Linked DNA regions of Lytechinus pictus. The protein of the gene in region 1 purifies or fractionates together with the protein of each later gene. This does not show direct contact. Links are inferred from orthologs where the notes say so. Each region holds a gene or a part of one and is shown in the gene's direction. Other genes may lie near its edges. The genes, in order: splicing factor 3B subunit 1-like, U5 small nuclear ribonucleoprotein 40 kDa protein-like, THO complex subunit 1-like and small nuclear ribonucleoprotein Sm D3-like.

Region 1 (7,431 bases):
AAAGAAAGGAAAGTGTATTATATTTTTCTGAATATCACGTTAAAATCTATCTTCATGTTAGATTCTCATGAAAGGTGATTTTTTTATCTCGCTCGCTTCGCTCGCTCGGGACCTATGTTAAGCTACTTCTTGCCAGAAGCGCCATACTCGGCCCCCTCGAGCATGTAGAGCTTCGCCCTGATGCTCACAATCATAACAAAAATCCTGTTCACCGTGGCGTACAAAAAAGAGAGAAAAGGAAAAGAGAGGGTGAAATATGATATCATCTTTTTAACATTATGTAAAAATCTATCACAAAATTGGATTTTTGCAATAAAAATGTCAAAATATTTTTGCTCGCTCGCTTCGCTCGCTCGCTTTTATTTATATGTATATTTGCCCGATACGCCATATCGCCCCCTCAAATTTTTTGCCTTATGACGCCATTGCCTGTTCCATGATATGACCGGGAAATTTTTGGCTCTTGCCCCCCCCCCCCCCTGGCCACCGACCCCTGTTACGCCGCTGAGAATGAGTACCTTACTTAACAATTAATGCGAGTGCAGAACACGAGCCAAAGATCTGTGATATTCCAATCTGAAAACTGGAAATCATAAACATTTTTGTAACCATGAACAGGATTACTAGTATTAATACCATACTAAACAATAATTGATGCGAGTGCGATCCCAAATTTTTGATTTACTAACTTAAAATGTATTATGTTTTACTATAAATTCTATTTAAAAAAGGTATTTCTTTTCAATGTTTTTGAAAATGGGCACATTTCATTTGGAAAAAAGGGAATTTCTCGATTTAGAAAAGGGGCCTTTTTTCCTACATGGAACTTTTCAGGGGGGGGGGCAAGAGATCACAAAGCGCAAGTTGAAAATTTCAGATGCTGACCTGAAAATTAGTCAGTTTTAGGACTCTTGTCAGTTTTCATGTTTTTTTCTGCTTACAACCACTTTAAAATTTCAATTATCATTTTTTGTATCTTCTACTGTTTTTTTTTACCTAAAAAACCGGAATAAAGAATACTACCAAATTAAAGACCAAAGAAAATAATACGAGGAAAATCCTAATGGAATAGAAATCAACCTTGTTATCATTCTTCAGAATTAGCTATAAAAATTGTATGAAAATTGTTGTCAAAATTGCAGTCAGATCTGTCAGAATTCTTCCTGACATCAAATCACTATAATCTTTATCATAATCATTATTACGATAATTATCATCATTATTAGTAATATTGTCATTATCATCATTAGTCAAGATTACAACACATAATTTTTTTTTCATCACTGCTGTTTTCTTTGTAATATAATGTGTTGATGATTCTTGATAATTGTAAAAATATATTGATGGCACTGCTAGTACACTTACTACCGCTGCTGCTACTGCTATTGTTGACTGGTAGAATTGACCATTAGTGTCATTAAATATACAGAAAATTTTAAGCATTTATAATTACTTATATAAAAACAAATAAAAGTACAAATTACAAAATGCCTTGAAAATGCCTTGAAATTTCAAGGCTCAAAATCCTCAAGGCCAAGGTCAAGGCCCTCTCAAGGCTAAGGCTTGAATGTTCAAGGCCGAGGCTTTGAAAAAGTAGGCCTTAAGGCCAAGGCCAAGCATCATGACACTACAACACTGTGTGATAGCAAAAAAAATTTTTTTGCATACGCTGTTAGAAAAACAGAAGATTTTACATAAGAAAAAATAAAAACAGATTTTACAAAAAGAAGTAACCAATAATTGTTAAAACAGGAAAGATTTTATACAATTTTTATAGAATTTTTCAGAACAGGTCTGTTTTAAAAAGGGGGAAAACAGTTTTATTACAATAAATTTGTAAGGTTACATACACCAATATCTATTTTCTGTAATTTTACACAAAATGCATGTAATATTACACAGTGCAGTAACATACAGGTGTTCTCGAGACTCTGCTGCAGGAATTTTTGTTTTTTTTAAGTAGAAATTTTCTAACAGTGTAGACTTCAAAGCCGGATAGTTTAAGCACCATTTAATAATCATGAACAAGATATGGATTTCATTAAACACTATAATGCACGCGCGAAGCGCGAACAAAAATTCTAAATAGTGACCTGAACAAAAAAAATTATAATTCTTCCCCCATTCTTATTATACCCCGCTTCAGAACCCCTGAAGCTTGTGGGATTTCATGGATTTTTCAAACACCCCTCGTCAGCCTGTTCTGTATTTTTACAGCCTTTTCAGGATAGAATATGCTACACTGTAAAAAAAAAAATAAGTCAGGCATTCTTTATTTTCTCCATTAATAGTGCCCGTAAAATAAGAAATGCATTTTGAGACTATTTCTTGTCAACAACTAGTTGAATCTTTATAAAAGTGCTTATACGAGCTTGAATCCGCTTGAATCGGATTGGATGCTCAGATGCATCATAATTATGTTGAAGGGGAGCTCTCATTAGCTAGTCTTAAGATATACGTTTTGAGATAACAATTACCAATATATAGGCTTACAGAGAATAACCTAACCTATACTTAAAGTGATTGTTTAACATTGGTTTGACTTTTAAAAAATCTGAGCTAGAAGGTCACACTTAATTCTCACCTGTGTCTGTGATATGTTACAAAAATGAAGCCCAGAAAAAATTGCGTTCGAAAATAATTATTTAGTGCTACATAAATTTAAATATAAAGTGACCGAAAAAAACCATCTTAATTTCATCCCATACACTTATGTGTACTATTTAGGCGTCTATAAGACGCCTATTTACAAAATCGGGGTTTGCCTTGTAGTTTTAGCTTTTCATTCTCAATAATGGTTGTTTTCAGGGTTTATTAGTTCTAATACATGCACTTGTACACATGTTTCATCTTGGTTTGAGAATTTTTTAAATCGGCTGCTCACAATTAAAGTTTTTATTTTTTATTTTATTTATTTATTTACCACTTGTGGGATGGAACACCCTATCAGCAAGTGCTGTTTTTCGTAGGGGTCCATACACACAACAATAAAAAATGTACAATATACAATCAACCATGGTAATGACAAAAGCACAAACACAAAGTTAAACAATACCTTTAAAGGGAAAATAAACTGCTTTTGAGAGGAACGTACATGTTCTGCTACTTATATAGCATAATCACTGCGGTATTGTGAACGTATATATCGAGTATATTGAATTAGCATTCCGGGATTAGCATATCGTTCAAGTCGGTCTATATTACAAGACTACACTGCTCAGAATGTTGCATTATGGGTTACCTGTTGAGGTTTGAGTAGAGCGAGCTAAGGCTTGAGGTGATCAATTCATTAAGGCTTAGCTGTTACAGTGCTATAGTAGAATTTGATCTACTTTAAAGGTGAATGAAACCTTTGGAGCAAGTAGGCTTGTGTCGAAACAGAAAAATCAAAGAATAAGAACAAAGAAAGTTTGAGAAAAATCTGACAAATAATGAGAAAGTTATTGCAATCACTAATGCTATGGAGAACCTCCCATTGGCAATGCTACAAGGATGTGTGATGTCACGGAACAACTTTCCCTTTGATGGACTATAAAATACCCCCAAAATGTCTCTTTTTTTAATTTTCTTATGGTGATACAAACTCTTTATCCATGATGTATTCTTTAAAAATATGTATTATATGCCCTCCCATAGAAAGAATATATGCTCTACTGATAGATGTGAAAAAAGAGGCAGTTTTAGTGAAATGTATATGGGGAGAGTTGTTCACAAGTGACATCACACATCTTTGTCGCATTGCCAATGTGAGGATATCCATGTCATTAGTGATCGCAATATTCAATGACGCTCATAACTTTCTCATTATTTGTCCGATTTTTCTCAAACTTTTGTTGATCTGTTTCTTTGATTTGTCTGTTTTCACACAAGCTATCTTGTTCCAAATGTTTCATTTTCCTTTAAATACTAGTACACGATAGTCGACCTAAAAAAAACTATGCCCACCTCTCACTTTCTTGTCTCCCCTTCCTCTCCTGGCTTTTCTGAATTTTCTTTTCTTTTCCCTTAATTCTCTTCTCTTCTCTAATTCTCTTCTCTTCTCTCCTCTCCTCTCGATCCTCTTTTCTTCTCTTCCGGCTTCTCTTCTCTTCTCTTCTCTTCTCCTCTCTTCTCTTCTCTTCTCTTCTCTTCTCCCCAGTAAGCGCCCCCACCTCGATCTTAGTCTGCTATGCAGACTCTGAATGGCTGGTGAGGTGGGATCGCGCGCTGCTGCTGGTTTGCGCGAAGCAAGCAAACCAGCCTGAAATGGCGAGCGAAGCGAGCCAGCCACAGTAGACCTAGTCTGCTATGCAGACTCGTTGAATCAGGTGTGGTACACACACTGCAGATGTGGGTCTTCATTTGTAGACTACCTCGATCCTGCCGAGCCCTCAGCTCCGTCACGTCACGAGCAAAGGTCGCACGGCGCGTTCGTAAGCTAGCTTGACGAGCGCGTTCACGCGCGCACGGAAATCGTGTAGGTCCAATTTAGCATCAAACATGGCGGCCGCAGAGTATGCAACGCGTGAAGGTATGACTCTTGAAATGTTTCTTGTTTGGTGCCATGATTCACTCTATTGATACAAATTTGAAAGAAGAATGATCATAGATTTTGAGACCACAATTTTGAATGTTTAAAAATATGTTTTACTTGTCTGTTTATGTTGTATTATCAGTGTTGTTGACGACGAGAGTTGGGTGATTATTTTTTTTATTTTGTCATTTGTGTTGACTGATTCGTGTGGTGTCATATACGGTATGGCCTATGTATGGGTACACACTGGTACATGGCCTGTGTGATATGATGGGGGGGGGGGGGGGAAGCTACGCACTTTGTTTTCAAACGATAAAAACTATGCCAATTTTAATATTTGAACAAATTATATTTCACTAATTTGTGGCAAACATTCTAAAGATCATTAATAAACAAGAATAAAAATTTGCAAAACTCACGTAATACGAAAATCCCGCTGTCAGCCTGTCTGTCATGTCAATCATGTCAATGGCAATGCCAATGGCTGTTTTTTTCAGAATGTAGAAGAGGTCCTAAAGCTAGTGTCTGAAGCCACACTGAAAAGTGTCAGCATAAAACAGGCTGATTTAGGGGAAAATATGGCACATTTTTCGGGGAAGTTCAGGCTACTAGAAAAATGTGATCTGAATTGATTATTATTATTAACTTGTGTTTGGCATGTATGGAAAGAGAAAATTGAGGGGCTTCTTTTGACAGTAAGGACAAGTTTATATGATCATTTTAAATAAGGAATTAGAGATAAATTGCAAAACCTTATTTTTGTGTGTGTTGAGATTGCCATTTCTCCATGCGTTTTCCAGAGCTTCCAAGTCTCCCGGATCCTGCGGGAGAATACTGGATTTCGATCCAATCTCCCGTTCTCCCGACCCCATGCCAAAATCTCCCGGATAATTGTGATTTTTAGCTGTTAAATTGTAAAATTCATACAAACGACTGTTTTACGAGTCTAGCATGTTCAACTCCCTTTAGTTTTACACCCACGTGGAAACTCCTTATCACATTTTCATTTTACCCAGTTACTTTTACCAGTTTTTGTATAATCGTACATTGATTTCCAATGTAAATGAAGATAATTTTACCGAACGACTGGTGAATTAGTCTAACAAGCAATTTTTTTTTCTGGTTCTGCAATGTGCATGTGCATGATGGAAACACTTTAGCGGCACTCCATGCCTATGCCCCCCGACGCGCCCCGGCGCGGCACTGCCTGGTCTCCGGCAGGAGGCTATGCGAAAAGGGAAGTCCGATGTATTTTTCGGAAGCTTGTGTGCGCTTTATTCGAGCTGAAACTGTGGATCAACGATGGGTTACTATTATAATTACACCCTGACTTTTAGGAATAATTTTATTGACAATCCTGAAGAACAGAAGCAAAGTGGAGATTTTTTTTGCCTACTTTTACTTGGGTTGATCGGATTCGAACATTTTCTCTTTCGTGAGTGAGCTAGCCTGGCGCTGGCTGGCTGTGCGTGCTTGCTACAAAAAGGCAATTTTCACAGGAATCCCTCGGCCCTCAGACTTTAAAACAGGCCACATATAAGTCTTTACAGGGCCAGGCAAGCTCATCTTCCACTACTGCAGCCCTTTTCCCCTCTGGACAATAAAGGTATTTTCTTGTTGAACGCATTCTTTTGTGAATCATTTTATGTTCTACTGTATTGCCTGAAATCAGGCTTGAACTTATTTTTTTAGTCAATGACAGACAATTCATCATTTCATGAAATCTCTCTAATGTGCATTTAATCTATGTGCCAAAAGTTTTGATGGTTTAGACAGCTGTCGGATACTATCAAATGTTGTTTCTTAATGAGTTTTGCTACCCAAAACTCCCGTCCGTGGGACATTTCGCCGCGCGCTCCCTCACAAAATCATACCTCCGCGAAATCTTCTGGATTCTATCATCCCAATGTTGGCAGCTCTGGTTTTCTATGGGAAAATGAAATTTCTGTTTTAACTTTGTCGCAATTTTTCATTGTGATCTGGTTTCCAAATCTTTATAAAAATCATACCATCAGATAGAGCATAAAAAATCCTATTGGACTCTTTAAGGACAAGTTTTTGGCATTAATAATAAATTAATAACATCTCGGAAGCTAAAAATTTGGATTTGTGTGTGTCCATTTCTTAACTACACAGTCTATGGCAGAGAAATGCTGAAAATTGACCTAATTTCATTCTTCTTTTTTTGCAGCCAATAATTTGATTTTTTTCAAAAATGTTACATTTCTGTCAGTCTGAAGGTCATTTCTCTTCAAATTCGCAAAGAAAATGTGATATTTTCTTGAAATAAGAAAAATAATTTTTTTCTCCAGACACCCAAGCTACGCACTCGATTTATCATGCAAAAAATATTATTTCCTGTGTCTCAATTTCTAAAACATTATTATAGGATAAAATGACATTAAAGTGAGTATAACTCCAAAATTCCAAACAGTTCTTGGTTTTCTCTGCATTTAGAGATTTACTGCAGCCTCTGTTGAAAAAAAATTGTTCGTCACCCTGCAGTCAGTTCCACACGCAGAGTGCGCATTTGCCAAACTGCATGTGCGATGAGTGGTGTGTAGCTTTAGGACCCCCTACTACCATACTATTGATTGTCAATGTTGATCATTTGGCCATTTTTCATTTTTGAATGTTGATTGTGTCGAGTAGACGCCGCGCCTTGGCCAATGCCAGCCCAGGCTGCCCAGCTGTAAACCAGGGAGCTGCGGCCCAGTTTGCAGGCCGGAGCCCAGGTCCAGGACTCGTCCGTGCATAGTTGGCAGACATATTATGGGGTTGCATGATAAGTTGTAGTTGGGTATGCAAAAAGGGTGGCAGATGAACAATTTTCCACATGGTGCCATTGATAAATTGTTGCTACATCACAGTATCTTGATCAAATTTATTGAGTAAGATCTCATTTTGAAGCTTGAACT
Region 2 (7,591 bases), on another chromosome or scaffold:
GGACGTAGTCAACCCATTTGCTCAAAATATTTATTTTGGCAAATCACATGTAATTCAATTGTATTTTCTATTCACAAGATCATGAAAGAATTTCATTTTATTTTTCATTTCAATGATTGATCAAATGGATTTGATGAGTATGATTTAAATCATATTCAATCATTACTTGGTTGACATTACCTTTCATCAGCTGTTCCCTGTTTCAAGTACATCATCACAGATTTAAACATGGCAAATGTATATATTGGACTAAGGAAAAATTGAACAGCAGTTAAACCTCAAAATGTTCATTCTAGCCCTTAATTGTAAGTTGAAAAAGAACGATAATGGATTTTCAGTACAAAGTGTTGTATAGATGAACAGAAATATGTGAACTGACTCCCATTCAGAGCTGCGTCTTTTCCCACAGGAATTCCACAAGTGTCTTCTCCTAAAGTTACCTTATAACACTGTCGTAAATTTATTTACCGGTACTGTTTTTGTTGTATAATTCAAAACCTTTCAAACTTTTTGCAAGAAAAATAGAGAAATTTGGGATACTTTCTCATTTCAATTCTGAAGTAGTTCCAATAGATTCTGATAGAACTGTATGTAAACATAGCTTTGCTCCTCACCATGGTGTAAACCAGTTCAGTTCCACATTTTACTCTTATTCATTTGTTTGTCACTTTATATGGTCCAAATTACAATCGTCATTTCTTGTAATTCATGTTTTTAAAAATTGAAATGTAAGTAGCCTTATTTATACAACTTCTTACCCTGCTTTGATGGAAAAAAAACAAGTGACAATGTGATATTTTTTTTCAATCACAAGTGAAAGTGCCCTCACTTCCGCAAAGATCAGTGGATCAGTATTACAATACATCCTTATTCCTAGCATGAATGTTTTGCATACTGTATATATCAAGGAAGAGAGCAACAAATTCACATGTTAAAACATATTTCAATGATATCATATGTCACTGTCACTTGAATCCTTATGTCAAAGTAAGGTAGTAAAAGTTGTAAAAAAAGGGGGGGGGGTATCCGGCAAAATGTATTTGTCACTGGCGTAAATCCTTGCGTCACACCTGTTGTTCAGGGGGGATGATCTATTGTTCCATCCCCCCCCCCCCCCGAAGAATAGGTGTGACTCACGGATTTACGCCAGTGGTATTTGTAATCATTCATGCATTTTGTTTTTATTGTTTTCAAAATTGTGAATGGCTTTCCATGAAAGACTTGTTGTTCAGAAAGTTTTGAGTTTATTGTTCATGTGGAATAAAGGATGTACATTTTGACTTATGAAAAATACACATTGTATGACAACTGACAAGAATTACAAGCAACTTTGGCCTGCCATCTTTTTGTTGTTGATGTATGACTCTGGATAGTAGGATGAGCTATGCTATCTATCTGACTTATTCATTCATTTTTTATATTTAGCCTTCATTCAGATCCAATTCTACCCATGCTCTCCTTTTCTTTCTCTCTCTTTCTCCAATTGCCCCCCTCTAACCCTCCATCTGCCCCCCTCCCTCTCACCCCCCTTCTTCTCCCCCCCCCCCCTTCTTCTCCCCCTTTCTTTCCTGCAGTTGGATGTTATTTGGTCACTCACCAAATATTGTTTGCGACCAATGGGCACCAACACAAAAAGGGCCCTTAATGGCATATGACACAAACTAAAATTGGTACCTTATATTTATCATAAACATACCCAAAATGGTGTTAATGCAGTAATCACACAGGTCAAGAATATTTAGTGGCATAAAAACCCTAGTTAATGAAGACAGAATTTGTAAGTTAGACCCTGGATGTCATAAATGGCACTTAATTGAAGCATCCCCATTTTAAAAGAGGAAATTTGACCCTGTTTATGTGTTTCTTTCTTCTCTTTTTTTTTGTTTGGGGGTGTTTGGAAATGCATTCGTAGCACAATGTGTAGTAGTATGTGCCCTTCTGATTTTGTGTGTTCTGTTGATTTGATTGATAAAGAAATTGATTGTGGAGTTATTGTCTGATTGGAATGGTCTGATTTGTTATTAAAAAAAATGTTATCCAATGTGAATTGTGTGTGGTTGTTAATATGTGTGCCAGGGCTACCCCATGTTTTTGTTCCATAAGGGGGGGGGGACAAGATGACCCATCTTTTTCTCAGTTGAAGTACAGCGTAACAGAAAATTAAATACCAATACCTTTTTTTATGATATTCTTTCTTCTCTCTTTGTATTCCTCTCTGTTTTTTTTTTTCAATTCCTCTTTTTTCACTACTTGTAAAACCATAGTAGTAAGGGGTGGTATTCTGAGATCCATTTTATCTCAGATAAAATAAAATATTTTATCTCCGTTAAAATCAGTGAGATAAAATACCCTTAAAATCTCTCCGAATTGGTATTCTGAGAACAATTTTATCTTCATTTTATCTCTGTAAGACACACCTATTTTTCAATCAATATCCAATCAGAAACGCGCTTTTATAGCTCTCTCATATCACTCAACCAATGGAAATCCATTCCGCTAGGAGGTGTGGCGAAGGAGTGAGATTGCGTCAATTTATTGACTTCAATACGCTTGCGCGTCTTTACAGAGATTTCTTTTTTTTAAACAAAAATGGCAATAATCTCATCTTTTTTTCGAAGTCTATATCGCATCTATTAAAGCATCATTTCAAAGACGATATTAGTCAAGAAAAGTCTTATGAAATGATTCCTGATTGTACAGGAATAACTTTATGGTGTTGTTCTCAATGAATATATCATTTTTCTTAATTTTCATGCCAACATTTGGAGTTAATTCACCTAGAAATATTGACGAAATCAACGTCGCGGAGATAAAATAGCACCTACCCTCTTTTAAGTTTATTTTATTTTTTCTTCAAAGTAACTTGGGCGCAAGCACATCATCCGCGTTGCAATGGCCAGATACGCAATGGGTATGTCTACGCAGCCACTGCTCTTTTGCATATCATCATAGATACGCAAGATAAAATTTATACGCAAGATAAAATTTTAAATTTTATCTGAGAGATAAAATGTCATCTCAGAATACCAATTTCATTTTAAGAGATAAAATAAAATATTTTAAAGATAAAATGACCTCAGAATGCCGCCCCTGGTCTGTTAGCGAAATTATGTGGACACGATGGACAAAAGCATGATTTTTTCTCCAGACCTTTGTTTATGTATAAGAAGTAAAAATGGGGTATGCTCCAAAAAATCTGGCTGCAGGAACAGTGAAAAAATGGGTGAAAATGTCAGAATTTATGAGTTTAGATTGGTCTGATATATAGACTAGCGCTAGTGCAAAACTCAATAGCAGTGCATTATTTTGCATAGGTTTAGTTCTTGAATTCAGACCCCTTTTGAACAGATTTTCTGTTTGTCCTCGCATCTCAATGCACCAAATATCTGAATGCAGATGCTAAACAAGCCGAAGGGTGGCGGTGGAGGGGGTTGAATGTTGGTGTGTATGTATATATTTTGGTCTTGGGGGTAAAGATGTGCAATACACATTTTTTGCATGTGTTGGAAATTGCGTTGCCATGGTAACAGTGTATTATGGCCCAAAATTAGGTAAAAATATTGCAGTTAGAACTTCTTCCTCTGTTTTCAGAAAGACTTTACAAATTGCTCATGTTAAAATTGTTCTTTGGAATGGGGTAGAGAGGAGATAGAACTTTGTGAACTTTACTGAAGAGAACTAGAGTGGTACCTTCAAGAAGGTATTTAGAAAAAGGCACAGAGTAAGGTAAGGTATCTAATAGTGCTCAACTAAGGAGGGAGGGGGGGGGGTGGCTGTGTGCTCCAATCTTAGTCTAGCCCCCCCCCCCCTCTTTATAAGCCATGTCATCTATAAAATTATCTTTCTTTCTTTCTCTCCCTCTCTCTCTTTCTCTCTCTCTTTCTATCTATTTATGTATCTCTTCCTTCTTACATCTGATAGGCAATAGCCCTAGGAAGATTTTGATATACTAGTAATAGGTCAAATGCAAATGTACTAAAGTAATATGTTCTCATTCTTTTATTGTTTCCTCATTCAATCTTATGTATATCTGGTAATTATATAATTGGGGCAGTTCTGGTATCCTGATATCTACACAAAATTTACATACACCTTTATATTACAAGGTGAACAGGGGCCTTTATATATTGTCATTGCATTCACTGTTGGGCTATATGCAGGTAGGATATGTAGACATCCATATAGTGAATATAACATATATGAGTAACACATTAAAATGGGTCATTGCATAGAAAATAGGCATTTTCAATGCATTTCTTTGTGCTAGCGTGAGTGTACAGATATAAAAGAATAGCAAAGTAGCTATTTAAAAAAATAAAATTCATAGGTCATATAATAAAGGTGCCATGAGCCTAATTACATTAGGAGGGCTAAAGATATTCGTTCGACCCAACCCATTCGAATTTTTTCAATTTAATATTGCTGATTGACAAAAGTGTATGAATATGATTCAAAATCTAACACTGTTTCTAGAAATGGTAACTACTGAGCTTCCTTTGCCCAAATTGGGAAGATATATCAATGATTTGGAATTATTTTTGACTGGCGGAAGAATTGGGGCTATTTTACTGTTTCAGTTGATGAATTTGATCCCATCATATAGTTATCTTCATAAATGGCGATTTATTTTTAAAATGAGCTGGCTACGATACCCTTCTCTGGTCAGATATGGAATGTCAGATATATATCCTATCCAAAGGTAGTAAACATTCGACCCTCTAATTTCACATTTATTTTTTATGAATTTTTCTGAAGTGCCATTTTAACACACAAGTCTATGGGGAATGTTTTACGCGCGTGACACCGTAAGATCGTATCTCTGTGAATGCCAACTACTATAGCGCCATCTTACAATGATATCTAGCCAGCTAACTTTGCACGGTGCATGGATCCAGTGAAGGCCCACCGTATTTTTTTTTAGTTTACATTTGCACATCTCGAAATCATGCCGGTGATGGACCACAAACGGAAAGCAGAGGAAGGTGCTTTAGTTGCAGTTAAAAGATCGAAGCATCATGAACTTGTGGCTGCAAGCAATCAACAAAATGCTCTCATGCAAGCGGTAAGAATTAACTTTACTCTTTAGTAAGCAAGAATAGACTACTCGACATTCTCACAATGACTATCATACGACTGTATTCCCAGTTATGCGATTTAGCTTCCGTGCCATGCGAACATTACAATCACGAAATCGTGATAGACTTCAGAGAAGAGGCGGTTTATACTAATTGCACGCACCGTTAACAGGGATGGCTTCCTATGTGGTAGACTCTGAAATGACTGGAGAGAAGAGTTTCTGAATGTTTGTCTATGCCCAGCTTTTAGCTTTTTTTGGTGACTTGAATACAAATAATGCTCCCTTAATTTGACATACGTGTGCAAAGAATCAACAGATGACGGTAAATTCATGAAATTCCTTGGCGCTAATGCAGTTTGAACTAGGCCTAGTTATGTGACAAAAAATAATAAAAAAATTATCTGATAGTGATATCAATAAATTTGGTGTCATTTGAAAACTCTTAAAAGGCCTTTCAAATGATACCAAGAACTCTAATTTTCATCAAGGAATTATAAAGTTATTTCAGTTTAAGTTGCGCATATTCATCTAAATGTGTGGCCGATGTCTTATTCTTAATGTAAAGTCAATGTAATACATAACCGATTTTTGTGACCTTTTGAACCCAAGTCTTCAACAGGCTCTAACTTCTTTGTTTTGGGGCCCTTTGGAGTAATTTTGGTATGAATGGAAAGGTGAAAGAACGCTCAATTGATGTGTAATCATGTCACTTTGTAATTTTTTTCTTAATATGTGTACAATAATTTCTTCTAATTAATTCAAATTAATTATTCCAATTATGCATTGTTTTTGCCAAATGATGGTGATCATGATAGATAATTTATGAAATTTAGTTGGCATCGAAACAGCATCATGTGGGAGATAATTTTCGGCAAGACTTCCCTAAAATTAAACAAAAAATATGGAGAAGGTTTGTCAAGAATTAAATATACTCACTTGTGTTAAAATGTATTTTATTGAAATATTTATACTTCTTGATTTGTAGGTTTTTTATGAAGATTGTGGTAAATAAAGTTTCAATTTCAATCTAACATATATCTAAGAGATTTAGGAAGGAAAAGTTGGATACATACCTGATACCAAAATGTGGCTTTATTCCGTCAAAATCTCGAGTGTGTGTAATTCCCAATGTCATCGGTTTATTTAGTCAGAAAAATAAATACCCAATACTCTTGGAGAGTAGACTAGTCGTAATATCGGTTGATAACCGACACACGATAACCGTTATGAAACCCATGGCTTTCAACAATTCCTGGTACATGTAGCTCAGTGAGTAAGGCGACAGACTGGAGATGCTTCGTTCTGCAGCGAGAGGTTCGAATCCAAGTTCCAAGCTAAAGTAAGAAGAAAAAAAGAAGATAAAGAGAATGAAAGAAGGGGGTTTTGGAGAAGTATTTTTTTTAATTAGTGGAGGGGACATAAAGAAATCTTTCCTAATTTTCTTAATGAAATTGTTTAAAGTATAGTTTTTGTAATTTCTAATGTATTTCTTTGTTTTTCAGGTATAAATTACAAGCCTTTTTTCAACTTCAGTATTGTATACATATATGTATGGGGTCTTTTTTGACATGAAAATTATCATTTTGTATTTTGTATGGTTTAAAAATAATGTACAAGTGTGCTATTTTCTAATGTATTTGATTGTTTCACCAATTCCTTCTCTTATGTATTTTATAGTTTCAACAATTTGTTATACATGTAGGCCTATAATAGCTTTTGATTTTAGAGACCCTGGGCATTTGATTACAATTTAATTAAGCTTTGATATATTTTATCAGTTTTCAATGCATTTCTTAGATTTGTATACATATTATGAAGGCCCTGTTTGAGCTCCCTTTTTTTTAAAAAGAAAAATGAATAAATTCAGATTCTAAAGTGAAATCACTGCATATAAATGTAGACATACTTCCATACTATTATGAAACAAAACAACAAAATTAGCAAGATTTTGTGGAAAAGAACTTCACAATCCAAACTTACCAATCTCTCCATTGATAAACTTGAAAGGCACCAAATTATTGGTTGAAGACAAAAGAAAAGGAAACGAGTGGTCTATATCTTTAAAAAAAAAACCTGAAAAAAAAACAGATATCAAAGCTCTAAACAACAACAAAAACAGACATCAAAGCTCCAAACAACACTAAAAACAAGAGAAACAAAAGTGACACAAAAACTTGTACAAATCCCATCCCCATTTTCCAGTTAGAGACACAACCCCCCCACCTGCAACCCTCATGCAAAAAAAGGAAAATTTAAAAAATAGGGGGGAAAAAAGATTGATAAAAAATACAGGACTAGACCCATGTGGAAATGAACAATTATTTCCTCTGAGTTTTCATGTATTTCCTTACAATCTTGAGTGAAAAAATCAAACAACATAATTTTTGCATTTTAATTTAAAAGTCAACATTCATGATAGGCCTATTCCCCTTTCAAAAGCAAATCCAGTCTCCAAATAATGAAACATGATTTAAAAGTTTCCATATATATTTTTTCTACAAAAGAAAAAAAATA
Region 3 (7,070 bases), on another chromosome or scaffold:
ATCCTCTCCCCTCTTCTCTACAACATCTTTATTGATGGCCTGATTAAGCTGCTAAGATACAAAGATCTTGGATGCCACTGCCAAAACCTGTATGCTGGGGTAATTGTTCTAGCTGATGATGTGGCCCTCATAGCTTCCTCAGCCAAAGAACTTCAATGCATGCTGAATCTCATCCATACCTATGCAACCACATGGAAGTACAAGATCAACCCATCAAAAAGTGCAATCCTCGTCTTTAATGGGCAAGACCACCTCAAGCACACTTGGTACCTGAATGAAGAGGAAGTTCAAGAAGTCAGTCAGCATCCCCATCTTGGTGTCACCAAATCTTCAACATCTCAAGATCCTGCGCCGAACATCATTGCCAAGGGATATAACTCCATATTCGCTCTGCTAGGTGGTTCGGCTTCAAGAAACAACTTCTGGCCTCCAACCATTGCCAAGTTGTGGACCACCTACTGCATTCCTAGGATGCTATATGGCATTGCTGCCATTAGAGTTAGCAAGAGGTCCAGGGATAAGCTAGACTCAGCGCAGGCCCTTCTCTTCAAAAAGTTCCTAGGGCTCCCCAGAAGCACAGCAAACGAGGCAGTCTTTCTCCTTACCGGAATCATCCCTCTCTCTATATGCAGATCGACCTGAACACCTTGATGACTCTCGGGCAACTGGTTACTTTACCAAGCGATAGGTTTGAGCACAGAATACTTCTAAATGCTCTCGCTGCCGATGTCCCTTTCATCTCCTACTGGAAGCAGCTAATCGCCAAATACAGCTTGCCTGCCATCCTGTCTGGCTCCCTGAGCTTCGACTACCTCACCTGGAAAAGACTGTGCCGCCAGGCCATCTTCAAGAAGCACAATGCTGGCCTAGTTGATGCCACTCAGGAGAAGCACACTCTTGCCTTCTGGAAGCAATGTTCAACGTTTCCAAGCCCTAGCAGTATATTCCCCCCTGCACTACCTTCACACCTCCGTATTGCTGCAAGACTTCGCTCCCAACTTCTGACAGGCACCTACCTAACACAACAAAGACTGAAGACCATAGGCAAGTCTCCCAGCGCCACCTGTAGACTTTGCTCAACGGAGGAAGAAAGCTCCACCCACTTCCTTGCTTCCTGCCCAACTCTCAAACCCCAACGGTCTGTTCTCATTCAACATGTCCCATCTCTAAGCCTCCCTGCTTGTTAGCCAATTAGCCTTCACCTCTGCTCATCCCCTCATCCTTGCCACTAATATCTTATTACCCTCCTCGCACCTATCTGTCACTCTTGCTGCCAATGTCATGACCCACTGCCTCAGATACATTCTTAAAATTCATCATATTCGCTTAGAGAAATTGCTTCAACACAACAACCAACCTGCGGATAGCCGCTGATCCTCGAATACCGGGGGAAGAACAACAAAGAAGAAGAAGAAGCATGGTATAATTTATGGCTAAGTAACTTAGACATGACCCAAATCTGGGCAAGGTTGCCTTCCTCGACAGGAACTCTGAACAGTAGAGGCTTGTTGTTGTTCGTTTTGGGCCTGTTTCACGCCCTAGTAGTCTCCTCGGTAGACACTTAGTGTTGAGAACTCAAAGGTAGAGGCTCCCATGTGGGAGATCACAGGTCTCAAATCTCAATTGGTGTTCAATCATTACAGGGACTCGATTTTAAGGCGCGCGAGAGCGATCGCGCGCTACATGCGCGCCTTAATCCATTTTTGGTAGCGCGATTAATAGCGCGCCTCGCGATAGCTGACCTGCGCGAAAATGCCTAAAGTCGCCCTCGAAATCACCCAAAATCATGCTTTCGGGGGCGACATAAAATCTGAATGTCGCCCCCGAAATTATTGCAGAGTGATAACAACTCAACGGCCCACTAGTGCCATATGCTCGAGCTCCGCTTACCATTTAAAAACCATCCAAAATCCACACTCAAAATCACGAATAAGCCTTAAAAGTAGCGAGTAGCGCAGTTTCAAATTCCGAAGTTGCGTTATTTTTTCTGTACCACGTATTTCCATACACATGGTACCAGGTATGGAAAAAAAAATCAACGCATCGGTCGGGAAAGAGTTGCATGTATAGGGGTCCATTATGACTACCACCGTGTGCCATTTCGAATGCACATGTTTCCCCTACAGATATCACAATTCTGTGATAAAATAATTCGAATTACACAGGAAATAAATCCCAGAGTCTAGTAACCTAGCATTGGTGAGTTGTCATTCGGCTTTGCTTTTCATAACGGCTTATTAACTTCCAAAATAAGTTATCTAATTTATCAATTATAACTAAAAAATCATTTGTTTTCTTTTTCTAGGGGATGAGGTATTATATCAGACAATAAATCATCAAACAAAGCTCCATCTTTTTTACAAGGACGGCGGCAGGCTCACGCATTGGCGCTTTTACTAGCTAGCCAGTTGGAGCTCTGTCTCTCTGCCAGAGCTCTGGGGGACAATTCGCTCAGTAAAGGCCTCAATGATGGTGATTTTCTGTTTCAGACAGAGTTTACATTTCAGGAATATTATTCAAAACTGCCAATAAAGTTTGATGATTTCTTCATTGTCATGTATATTTAAGTTCTTAATGAATACATTCTCACCAAATTTAGACTCCCCCATAGAGAAATTAAATTTTCATGGAGATCTGCGTTTTCAAAGAACTTCAGGAAAAGTTAGGGTATGTGATGGGCCTTTATTACATGTACTGTACGACTAGGGTATTGTACTGGAATAAATGGAGTAGAAATTAGATATTGAATTCATTTATATCCAAGTCCAACTCACAGTCACACACACACGCACACACCCACACACACCCACCCATCCACACACACCCACATCCAAGATTCTAAACATGATAAATAACTTTAAAAATCATACAATATTAAACAAAAAGTAATAATTCCTTAATAAGTGAACAGGTATTCCTCAAAATACAAAAAAGTAGCATTTAAAAAGAGCCCCCGAAATTTGACAAAAAAATTAAAATGGAGCCCCCGAAAAAAAAAAAAAAAAGTTTTGACTTAACTTTTAGCCAAAGTCAAAACCTAACTAAAACAGGTTTTACAACACACAATCTAATTACAATACATTGTAAAACAATTATAAATACTTCCTTTGGTTGTTGATTGTAATTTTATAGTACATACATTTCCTCCATCCATTTTGTTAATTGGGCAAAAAGCTCCCCTTGTATGTTGAAGAAGAGCTTTTTGAAGTGCTCCTCTACCGCTCTCCTTAAAAGTTCTAGGAGAGCTTTTTATTGCTCCCCTTATAATTATAAAACCGAGTCCCTGCATTAGTTGGAAGGATGACTAACAAAAATATTGCTCTCTGCTGTGCTGCAGGTTTTTTTTCGGGAGGGGGGGGGGGGGGGTCCAGTGGCATACAATATTGAGTCTAATTTTTTTAGGGGATGACATATGACGTAAAGGACAAAATTTCTATTTAAGCTAGACCTACAAGCTAGGACGCAAAATAAAAAATATTGACATTTTTTTTTTCATTCATCATGTTCACCTTTCGTTTCACTCATGTCTCATGATTGACATTTTTTTTAATTCATTCATGTTCACCTTTCGTTTCACTCATGTCTCATGTCTCATGATTCATTAGTTACTGATTTACTCATTCTTTCACTCATTCACGGCGGCTGATTCTTTCCTTCCTTCCTTCCTTTCTTTTTTTTTCTTTCTTTCTTTTTTTTCTTTCTTTCTTTCTTTCTTTCTAAGTTAGGCTCTCGCTATCCTACACTGTCAATGGACACCCAGCGCGCGCTACCGCGCTACCGCCCCGGGTCAAGCTAGGCCCTAGCCTGGCCCTGGGCTAGGGCCGGGCTGGGGCGGTAGAGCCAGAGCCAGACATGCCAGAGGGATCATGGCATGTCATGGGTCCAGTGCAGCGCCCAGCCTGGCGCTGACTGGGCTCTCTTTACGTAAATTTACCTCGAACTTGATATTCGATGTGTTGCCGCTTACTTTTGCAGCCAGTTTGGAATCCATACTTGTAAGGAAGAATGTTAAAAATCAAATCCTTTCCACAACTATGGTCTATGCACAGCCAGTGCGCGACAGTCAGCGTGTTGACAATTTGCGAAATGAATAAAATAGTCTTAATAAAAGACTTTTAATTACATAATCGTTGACTCGGGACTAGATATTTTCTATTTTCATATCTTTTACACCGATTCCTGACATTCATAACAACGATTGTTTTTATTCTTTAAAATCAACGAAAAGGCGGTAATTATTTTGGTAATTTGGTCTCTTTAATTCTGTTTTACTTCGTTTATTTTAAATACAAAAATCCTAAGCTGAAACTAATAAAATTAATCATGGCGGCCTCCGAGTCACAGTTTGATTTTGAAGCCTCGAGGGTAAAATACTTGGTAAGATGTTTTCTGACCATCTAAACATTTATTTATTCTATAAAATCATTCATGTTTTGATTCTTGTACATTTGGATCAAAATTTTAGTTTGGCTCTGTATCATTTTAAGCTTATTTCATCTTGTTAAATCCATTGTTAAATTCTGAGTGTCATGTCTGCGAGTGTCACTGTGTGCTGTCCCATATATTGTAAAATTTGTTGTGTTTAAATCTTTAATTTCCCGACTTGTCTGTTGGCTATTGCCATATCCGTGTAGCCAGGAGGCTCCTGGAGAGTAAAAAATCCTTTTTCTAACGTAGGCTTACTCTCTTAGGAGCAGCAGGGATTGGGTCCCATTCATGCGCGTGTAATACGTAACGTCGTAGGCCTAGGCCTACCGCAAAAAAAATTAAACCTTGGGCCTGGCTTTGGCCTTTGCTTGGCTTCGCCCCAGTCCAGTCTCCAGAGTCAGACTAGACTGCACATCGTCATTGACTGCAGCAGAGTTTTTTACTTTATACCTTTATACCGCATCTACTGGAAAAATAAAGTTGTTCCTGCAGTCAAGTTTCCAGGTCTATCTTGTTGTCTTCCTAGCTTGGATAAGTTCGAAAAACTGAGTCTGCTATTTGTGCAATGTGCTGTGCCAATGTATTGAAATGAAAAAGGCACTATTCCCATGCGTGAACATAATTAATGCCACGCAGACCAGAACTTGTCTAACTTTGTCTTGAAGCCATTGATTGTTGATGCTGTGACTACCTCAGTAGGCAAAGAGTTCCAGTCATTAACCACTCTAACACTGAAGGTGTTTTGTCTCACTGCCAGTCTACTCCTTTTCAAAAATAGCTTGTAAGGGTGGCCACGCGTTGCTTGAGTGGTAGCTGTTGTGAAGAATAGGTCTCTATTCACATCATCAATGCCCTGAATTATTTTATAGGTTTGTATCATGTCACCTCTGCGCAGTCTGTACTTGATGGAGGGTAATTTCATTTCACGCAGTCTTCTACCATAGTCCATTTCTTTCAGGGCTGGTACTAGCTTGGTCGCTCGTCGCTGGACTTTCTCAATAGCCTTCAAGTCAGAAGCATATCTTGGGTACCATATTCCATTCGCATATTCAAGAATTGGTCTCACGAGTGACTTGTACAACCTTTTGATGTTTTCTTTGTCTCTATGCAAGAAAGTGTGTCGAATCATAGCAAGCACACGATTAGCTTTCAAGACTGCGTTGGCTACTTGGGAATGGAATTTCAGTTGAGAGTCCATAATGACTCCCAAGTCTCTTTCCTCCGAAACTTCCTCCAGCACATCTCCATCTAGATGATACTGATGATGGGTATTCTGATGACCTAGATGGAGGGATCTGCACTTTCTAAAACTCTACACGATTAAATCTAGCCCTAAATCATGTATTGTAAATGAGATACAAGTCCAACTTCATTTCCGACATTTCTACGAGTAGGATATTGATTTCATTTTTAAACAAGAATTCATTAAAAAAACTAGAAAAATATTATGAAAAGACGGGGAAAACTTGCCACCGTGTTTACGTGGCCATCTTGTTTTCTTTGTCATTCGCCAAGATGACAGCACGCATATCGCGATATCGGTGGCAAGTTTTCCCAGTCTTTTCATAATATTTTTCTTGATTTTTAATGAATACTTGTTTAAAAATGAAATCAATATCGTAGAAATGTCGGAAATGAAGACTGAAGTTGTATCTCATTTACATGATTTAGGGCTAGATCTTTTAGAAAGAAAGTAGAAATTTCTGGGGCGAAAGTTTTATTTTTTTTTGCGGTACACGCGCATGAATGGGACGCAATCCCTGGCTCCGTGCAGAGTAAGCCTACGTTAGTAGAAAGATTTTTACTCTCCAGGAGCCTCCTGCATTGTGACTACATAGTAACATACCAACACTGCATTAATATGCACACATGACACACTAAGCAGTAGCAGTAAGTAGTACATGTAGGGGATGTTTAACAATTGCAAGTAGGATCTACTTAAATGCAAACACGTATCTAAATTAAACGCGCGCAATCTAATTCAGTAATTGATCAATAAGCAGTAGTGCACCTCCTCTTTGCATGATCTGACCAATGTGGTTATGCCTTTTATACCGCACGCAACTAGGCATTTAAGTGCGACTCTAAGTCTAAGTCATGCTAAATCTTGTGAAACACCCCCCCCCCCCCCAAGAGTTCTAGTAGAGGTCTACAGTCATGACTGTCTTTGTACTTTTTTTTTATATAGCTTTTGTCGTCTTTTGATACTTTTTACTTTTGTTCCCCCCTTTTTGTTCAGGCTCTTGTCATTGTCAGGAGTGTTTTATGCCTCTAGCTGTAGGCGGCTCAATTATTTTCAGCAGACTGAAATCTATTTCACAAAGCTACATGATAGAAAAGACACCATACATTAGAGAACAGTCTCTTTGAATTTGTCAAATGTCAGTTTGCCTTGGGATTGGAGGTGACAACAATTTTTTTATGGCCACATTCATTGAAAATGAAGTATAATATTTGATAGTAGTCTAATTCTTGTTATATTTCATTATGTGGTTATCTTCTTATCTGTAGCTGTACTACTGTTATATGTAAAGAAAACTGTTATAAGTTTGAAAAAAAATTCATTCTTCATTTTTTATTTCATGCTAGACCCCTATTTTTTTTTTAATGCTTTTTTAATAACTTTTCTTTTTTGTTGTAGT
Region 4 (7,911 bases), on another chromosome or scaffold:
GATTTTAGTATCTAAAACTGTTCTTTATCTTTACCTATTAGACGAGTTTGATTTTACATTGTGAAAATTCTGTCCCTAGTCCCTACCTATTTCTGTACATGAATACTATTCATATTCATTATTTTCAGTGATTGTCATTTTCATGTGCCACAAGTAATAATAATAATCTTTTATTTTCCCAGGGTAACCACTTCAGTTAGCTCTACCAGCATAACATAATGATGTTATTATTGCCCTTCTCCAATCTAAATGCTGAGCGCCTAGCAAGAAGGCAGAAGAAGGTCCCATTTTTATAAGTCTTTGGTATGACTCGGCCGAGGATCGAACCCATGACCTCCCGTTCATGAGGCGGACGCTCTACCACTGAGCCACCATGACCGGTTGCAATTGTACATGTACAATTCAGATTGTATCTCAATGATTCCAAATATTTTTTCATGAACAGATAAATATGTTTTCATGTATATTGTTTTCAATAGCATTTCAATATCAACATTAACATATCTGAGTTATGCTGGTGAAAACCGGTCATAGAATTGTTCTCATTGGCCCGTATTCTGAACTCTGGTTTAAATTAAACCTTGGTTTAAAGTTGTGGTTTAAATATGGAGAGCCAATTGGGGCACATATCCTTAACAGTACACATCCAATTTATTAACTCATTCGACACTCAAATTGTTCTTAATTGTCTGTTAATGGTAACTGACAGATTTTTCTTCATTATGAAAGCAAAAGGAAACAAAATAGTAAACATAAGAAATATACAATATAAACAGAAATTTTGGCTCCCAATAATTTTAGCACAGAGTTAGACCGTGGTCTAAGTTAAACCCTACTTCAGAATGCGGGCCATTGGGTTTAGGTAATGCAGTTTTAGCTTATTGTAAGTTCTTGATAATTCTTTGCTCTATACCTTACCACAAACCTATTTTTCCCCTTATCTTTAATGTTAATCATGTTTATGAGAGTGTACTACTCTCTGCAGAGTATAAAACATTATATTACCAGAACTTAAGTCTGGTATTGATCCCCTCAAAGTGACATTAGACTATCATCATGATGCATAGAAAGGATCCACTCACAAATGTGAATCACATTAAATCAATTTTGAAATAATCTGTTGACTTGTATGGTGCATAATTTCATATCTAATTGTGCCTGTTATCTGCTTAATAAATAGAGTAGAATTCACTGAACAAAATGCTGAAAATTTCATCAAAATCGGATAACAAATAATAAAGTTATTGAAGTTTAAAGTTTAGCAATATTTTGTGAAAACAGTCATCACGAATATTCATTAGGTGGGCTGATTATGTCGCATCTCCACTTTCCGTTTTCTTATGTTATTACAGAAAATCAAATTTTTTTCATTATTTCATACTTGTGTGAATAATATGTCTCCCTTATAATGAAATAAGTTGCAGCAATAAATATCTAATGCACTAAATCAGTTGTCAATCCAATTTTTCTAGTTCTTGGAGGAAAAAATTTGAATAAATCTAATTTCATATAATAAAATACAAAAGAACAAGTGGGGATGTGCATAGGCGGGGGGGGGGACTTGTCCCCCCCCCCTAAATTTGAGGTGGGGGACGATCCCCCCCCCTAAATTTTGTATCAATAACTTTTTTTTTTTTTTGTGTGTGTTTGTCAAAAAATTTTGATGGTCCCCCCTAAAATTTGGGTGATAACCTTTTTCTTTTTTTTTGGTCGTCCCCCTCAATTTTTTGGGCTTCCGCCGCCAATAGGGATGTGACATCATCAGCCCACCTAATGAATATTCATGACGACTGTTTTCACAAAATATTGCTTAACTTTAAAATTCAATAACTGTTATTTCAAATAACAAAGTTAGTGTTATCCGATTTTGATGAAATTTTCGGCATCTTGCTCAGTGAATTCTACTCTATTTATTAAGCTATAATTACTTTCAGCCCGGACCATCCCTTTAATAGTCATGAGCACTAGCGTACCTACGGGTACGAGCCACCACCCATGCATGTATCCCTGCCCCCCTGACGAGCTTGAAAGACCTTTTTGCCCCCCCTGACGAAAATCCTGGAAAATCCTAGGTACGCCACTGGTCACGAGTCAGTTATACCTAGTTCTTCCAAGGAGGTTTCAATGAGATGGAGTAACAGCAAATAAAATCCCTTTGAACGAGGATAAAAACCGCCACCAGCAAGTATGTCAGGCATGCACTTTGCTCAACATCTCTTGCCCATTGTGTAGACAAATGATTCTCGCATGACTCCACAGCTATAGGTCATATATAAAGGGATACATGCTATATTGTGATGATAATTACTTTTTCGCTGCATCTTGATCTGGTTATATGTGTAGTACGTATTCGGAGGCGTGCGAAAATAAACTGCAATAAATGACTCAAATTTGCTCGACTGGGCATGCACGGGCACTCATCTGGCATATACAATAATGAATAACAATATTCCACTGACCACATTTGAAATTCTCATTCGCCGCAAACGATCGGAAAAGTGTTAAAATCTGTTTTCAGTAAACGTCAAATTCTTACATTTTTCACTAATTAAAGGTTGATTGATATAAGCTGGGCAAATATATCGGCGTAATAGTGCTTGGTTATTGATATTTTGTAATGAGTTCAAATTTCAGTTTGTTTAATAATATGAAAAATGGAAATTGATACAAATGGATATTCGTAAAATTTCACCCCTCTGATTTCTTCGCTGAAACTGGCGGCTTCGAAGGCGGACTCTCAAAAAGGTTCTTATCGACTGCCATTCTTTCTTTTGTGCTTCTTTAGAAATGAATTACAGCTGCTTGAATAAATTTGTTGCCTGTTGGAACTCATCCATGCAGTCATAGAATCTTCTTGGTTCTTCACACTGTCACAATTCATGCCACAATGGAAACCATGGTCTCAATCGCGGAATAATTGTGACTGTGGCAGATCTTGAGGTCGTGGTAATCATGATTTTAGATCAAAAATTTGGACAGCTCAAAAATTTTCCTGGGTCCCGTAACACCAAGGTTAGCGATTAATCGTACGCTTGATTTTCACGATTTAATCTATACTGTAGTCAATGCAATCAATCGTAGAAAAATTATCTAGGATCATTGCTAAACTTTGTGTTACGGGCCCCTGATCAGCGGCTAAGAAAGGCCAATCTCAAAGGATGCACAACAGAATTGAGACAAGTCAGATAGATCATCAAAGTTGGTAGTGATCTGATCCATGATTGTTAACATAATCTTCATAAATTACATGAAATATTGTGGTATTTTAGTCTATTCTCTATTCCACAGGATGCTGTATGATTATGGCAATTAGATTATTTGATAATAAATTAAATAAAGATGCCTGAACTACTTTCCTGGCTTTAGATATTCTTTGTGCATTATTTTGTTTTATGCAAATAGTGAAGGTTAGGAATCTTATTCAGAATGGGATTTTGAATTTGATGAGACTCGGTGGTTATGACGGACCACCATCCGATCCAACAAATTCTAAAACATGAACCATGAGCAAACTTTGTCATTTTATGGTTTTGTTATATTCTCCTTTTATTCCCCCCCCCCCACATTATTTTTTGAACAATATATCCCCCTAAAAAACAAATTTGGAAAGCCAATTCCCTCCTTCATGCCCATACAGGCAAAGAAAACACCTATAATAACTATAATGCTCTTTCTTCAATTAATGAGGGGCACAAAAACTTTGGAACAAGTGGGCTTGCATGTGGAAACAGAAAAATCATATAATGATATCAAAGAAAGTTTGAGAAAATTGGTCAAAAATAAAGAAAAAGCTATGAGCATTTGAATATTGCAATCACTATAATGCTATGGAGATCCTCCAATTGGCAATGCGACAAAGATGTGTGATGTCACATATGAACTATACTTTAATTCCCTTTGATGGACTATGAAATACCCCCAAATATCTCTTTTTGCTCTTTCTCTTTTAAAATCTGTTTTACTTGCCTTGTCATTATGAGATGTGATAAAAGAGGCAGATTAATATACAAAAGTTTATGGGAAAGTTGTTCACACGTACGTGACGTCACCAGCATTATGTTGATAAATTTTTCCACCTCTAGCTATCATACTGGACATCACACATCTTTCTGGCATTCAAGTTCTACATTACAATAATGATCTAAATTCAAATGCTCTTAACTTTCTTATTGTTTATTCAATTTTCTCAAAGTTTCGTTGATCTGTTTTTGTGATTGTTCTGTTCTTACACAAGCTATCATGTTCCAAATGTTCCGTTTTCCTGTATAATCCATGCATGGATGGGTGAATGAATGTGCAGCCTCCCGGCACAGCCTATTTTATGTACCTGCATGATCTAGCTCTTGTAATTGAAAACAGCTTTCAGTCTTTGATTAATTTGGCTGGCAACTATTGTCATGCAGAAAGAACTATATTATGTTCCCCTGGCTTGGAGCTTTTTAAAATGGATTTAAAAGCTTCCTTTATATATCGAGTTATATTTCTCTTTCGATTTCTCCTTCATTTTTGTCTTCTTATATCGAGGTTTTTTACCTGACTGCTAAATAAGCACGAATGCCTGTGAACAAGCAACCAGGGGACCAACGGCTTAAGGTCCTCTCCGAGGGACCTGGTAATGAGGATAAATGCCTTACCAAAGGGCACTAGCGCACCACTTGGGAATCGAACCCGGGTCACCGGAATCCGAAACCCCCGCTCTACCGACTGAGCTATCGCGCCTCCAATATTTTCATATGATTGTTTTTCTTTCATTTTCCCCTATTTTTCTTTTCCATTTTCTTTTATTTTCTCTTCTTTTTCTTTTAATTTATTTCTCTTTCTCCCTTAATTCTTTTTTTTCTATGTCTTTATTGCTATCTTCTAGTCTCGTGTGAACACGTATACTGACTATCGCGATAGTCAGTATAGCGATAGTCACTATAGCGATAGCCCATCAATTTAGAATTGTGTCTATTATTCATTAGATTAAACATACTTATATGATTCCACTGAATATTGATAAACGACGAACCACACAATGTTAAACATAGTTTGGTTTCATTTTATTTTGGCAGTCATCTCTAAATAAAATAGCCCTTTCTCTGAATAGCTCATAGAGTTGGATAGCTCGACAAGCTCAATCTTTATCAATCTTTATCATGATCAAATTGGCAACTTGGCGGTACGTTTGTTTATTATTGTGTTCTCACTTTCACGGTACGGTCGACAGAAAGCAGAATTATTTACACAATCGCTCAAAATCTACGTAATCGAGGTTTATTTTCATCCAGAAATACTTGAAATCGAAATAAAAGATGTCGATCGGTGTACCTATTAAGGTTTTACACGAGGCAGAGGGACATATCATCACTTGTGAGACGAATACAGGTGAAGTCTACCGTGGAAAGCTCATCGAAGCCGAAGACAACATGAACTGCCAAATGATGCACATAACTGTCACTTATCGCGACGGACGAGTCGCACAGCTTGAGCATGTTTATATCAGGGGAAGCAAAATTAGATTTTTCATCTTGCCTGATATGCTGAAGAATGCTCCCATGTTTAAGAAAGCCGGATCTAAGGGATCTGCAGGACGAGGAAAGTCTGCGATTCTGAGAGCCCAGGGTACGTTTTGCAATGTAAAATCAATTGACATTTTTCTGTATGGTGTAACCGGTCAACCCTACCTCAGCTCAGCCAGGCGAGGCGAGGCCGAGGGTACCGTATGGGCACTATGATGGGGTGTCCAAACTTCGCGCACTTTTCAAAAATATTCATCAGGTTTAAATTTTTTCACAAAATATTCATAAATTATACAAAACCAATTAAAAAAATAGTTACCACATTGACGGCAAGATCGTAAACTATAAAATAATGGACGAAAATGTAAAGTAGGTCAAGGGAATTCGCCAGTATCGCGATCTCAAAATTCTATTCTGATCGGCGAATGCGCGCTGTACTGGAAAACGTTCAGAAAAAGTGTGACCTAACTTCGCGGACCAAAGTTTTTGTGGACATTTAAACAAAAACTCAAGCTCAAAAAGTGAAATATTTATATCAGATTGATGGCAAAATGCTATAGAATTGGTTTGTACCACATTTAACTCACATTTTTGATGATTTCTGCTTGCAAAATGGTGATATCGTGATGCTTGTTGAGAATATCAGATTTCTTCAAAAACGGGCGCTAACGGTGACAAATTTGCCGATCTTTTGCCAATATTTTCATGAATACTGAACTCATCCTAAAGAAACTTACACCAAAGGGTAATTTTAGGTCGCTTTTCACGTTGATGATGTCAGATTTTAAGGATATTGGCTAGTTTTTTAGATAATGACCGTCCGCGAAGTATGGACACGCGCGAAGTTTGGACTCACTGCCATACTAGTATTCGACCTGGCATAATTCAAAGATTTGGCCAAATTCCCCCAAATATTTAGAAATAGGGAATTTATCTTAATTTCATACCTTCTTTGTTATTTCAAGGCCAGGGTAATGACTATGTTAATCTGTTTTCGGTATTTTCTTTATCAATCTGTGACTGTGAGTGTAATTCTGTCGATTGTGCGGAGGATCAAATTATGCGGCGATGACCTTTTGGCAATTTTTTTTTTGCACTGAATTGCACTAGTAAGTAGTATTCAACCTAGTGATGATAGATAGTGAATCTCAAAATGGTTTAAATTGCTAAACTAGATCTATGACGTACAGACTAGATGTAGGCCTAACTGTTAACAGTAGAGCCTAGAGGCATGAGAGGCGCACAGCCAATATGGGAGACTCTCTCCAATAGGGGAGACAATCTCCCACATTGGAGACTTGCTTTGCAAAAGGACAAAAGAAACAACACCAACAAAAGCATGATTTTTTCCACCCAAAATTTTGTCTCACTGAGGTCAGAAGCCCATTTGTTTTGTGTGTGATTGACAACAAAAATCCTTTATCAAAACAAAAGTAGACGGTGAATTTTTAAAGTAGACGGTGAAAAGGGGTAATTTTTCATGAGGAATCTGCTTATCACATTTTTATTTGCCGCCAAGTTAATCCTTTTGCAGCAAATGTAAACAAAGGAAATTGGACTCCAAAACTGGAGACTGTCTCTGAAATTGGATACCCAAATTCTTTACAAAAGTCTCTGATATTGGAGATAATCTCCCACATTGGAGACAGTCTCCAATATTGGCCGTGCGCCTCTACTGGTTAAGTCTCTGGCTTTGACTAATTCCCTGTTTGGTCTCATCTCAAATCCATTACACCTATTCGTCATACAACTTGGCCCTTAAGTAAATTTGATTCTTTAAATTATTTTTTTCTTGATTAAAAATAGAGATAAAAAAATGAAAATTTTCTTGCCATATTACTTTCCACCAAAAGAGGGCGTACACAAAAATATGCCCAAAATTCAAGTTTTTGAGTGCTCTAGTAAATACAAAAATTATTCCCAAGTTACTAATGAAAAATAAATTGCAACTGTATGAAAATTAGTAATTTTGGTCACAAAAGTGATATTTTAATGATTTTTTAAAGTGTGTGCTCTGTACAGCATTGGCATGCCATAGTCCTACCTGTAGATTCCACACAGGCAGGATGGTTGCAGTGAACAAGTGGGCAGATCGAGAAACAGGGCCATCTTTCATCGCTAGGTTGAATACTGGTGCCGACGGATTGAATACTAGTGCCAAAAACCATCGACGTATAATTCGATCGCCCGCGTACACAGTCGACGGGTTGAAGAAAAAAATAATGCAAAAAGAATAACCAACATTTGCTCTTGGAAATAAGGCAGGTCTGAAATTAAGGTAAATTCCATATTTCTATAAATTTGAGGAAATTCTCCAAATGGGTTGAATACTAGTGCCCTTACGGTACTCAGACTGTCTCAGTAGAGGCCCACGGCCAGCGGCGTACCTAGGATTTTTCAAAGGGGGGCA

What was found.
Region 2: the proteins of splicing factor 3B subunit 1-like (region 1) and U5 small nuclear ribonucleoprotein 40 kDa protein-like purify together in Homo sapiens (co-immunoprecipitation; 3 studies listed by BioGRID and IntAct, with this or other methods). This does not show direct contact. The link is inferred for Lytechinus pictus from reciprocal best matches to the Homo sapiens genes SF3B1 and SNRNP40.
Region 3: the proteins of splicing factor 3B subunit 1-like (region 1) and THO complex subunit 1-like purify together in Homo sapiens (co-immunoprecipitation; 4 studies listed by BioGRID and IntAct, with this or other methods). This does not show direct contact. The link is inferred for Lytechinus pictus from reciprocal best matches to the Homo sapiens genes SF3B1 and THOC1.
Region 4: the proteins of splicing factor 3B subunit 1-like (region 1) and small nuclear ribonucleoprotein Sm D3-like fractionate together in Homo sapiens (co-fractionation; 4 studies listed by BioGRID and IntAct, with this or other methods). This does not show direct contact. The link is inferred for Lytechinus pictus from reciprocal best matches to the Homo sapiens genes SF3B1 and SNRPD3.

The regions. Positions count from the first base shown.
Region 1 is NC_087257.1:28,175,182-28,182,612, reverse strand, and holds the start of splicing factor 3B subunit 1-like, read left to right. Parts: upstream 1-4,408; 5' UTR 4,409-4,479; coding exon 4,480-4,510; intron 4,511-7,431. UniProt on the Homo sapiens protein: Component of the 17S U2 SnRNP complex of the spliceosome, a large ribonucleoprotein complex that removes introns from transcribed pre-mRNAs.
Region 2 is NC_087245.1:8,205,516-8,213,106, forward strand, and holds the start of U5 small nuclear ribonucleoprotein 40 kDa protein-like, read left to right. Parts: upstream 1-4,570; 5' UTR 4,571-4,945; coding exon 4,946-5,062; intron 5,063-7,591. UniProt on the Homo sapiens protein: Required for pre-mRNA splicing as component of the activated spliceosome. Component of the U5 small nuclear ribonucleoprotein (snRNP) complex and the U4/U6-U5 tri-snRNP complex, building blocks of the spliceosome.
Region 3 is NC_087261.1:24,315,193-24,322,262, reverse strand, and holds the start of THO complex subunit 1-like, read left to right. Parts: upstream 1-4,070; 5' UTR 4,071-4,323; coding exon 4,324-4,377; intron 4,378-7,069; coding exon 7,070-7,070. Other genes in the region: uncharacterized protein LOC129279903, read right to left, coding at 3,935-3,991. UniProt on the Homo sapiens protein: Component of the THO subcomplex of the TREX complex which is thought to couple mRNA transcription, processing and nuclear export, and which specifically associates with spliced mRNA and not with unspliced pre-mRNA.
Region 4 is NC_087246.1:7,902,897-7,910,807, forward strand, and holds the start of small nuclear ribonucleoprotein Sm D3-like, read left to right. Parts: upstream 1-4,901; 5' UTR 4,902-5,294; coding exon 5,295-5,604; intron 5,605-7,911. UniProt on the Homo sapiens protein: Plays a role in pre-mRNA splicing as a core component of the spliceosomal U1, U2, U4 and U5 small nuclear ribonucleoproteins (snRNPs), the building blocks of the spliceosome.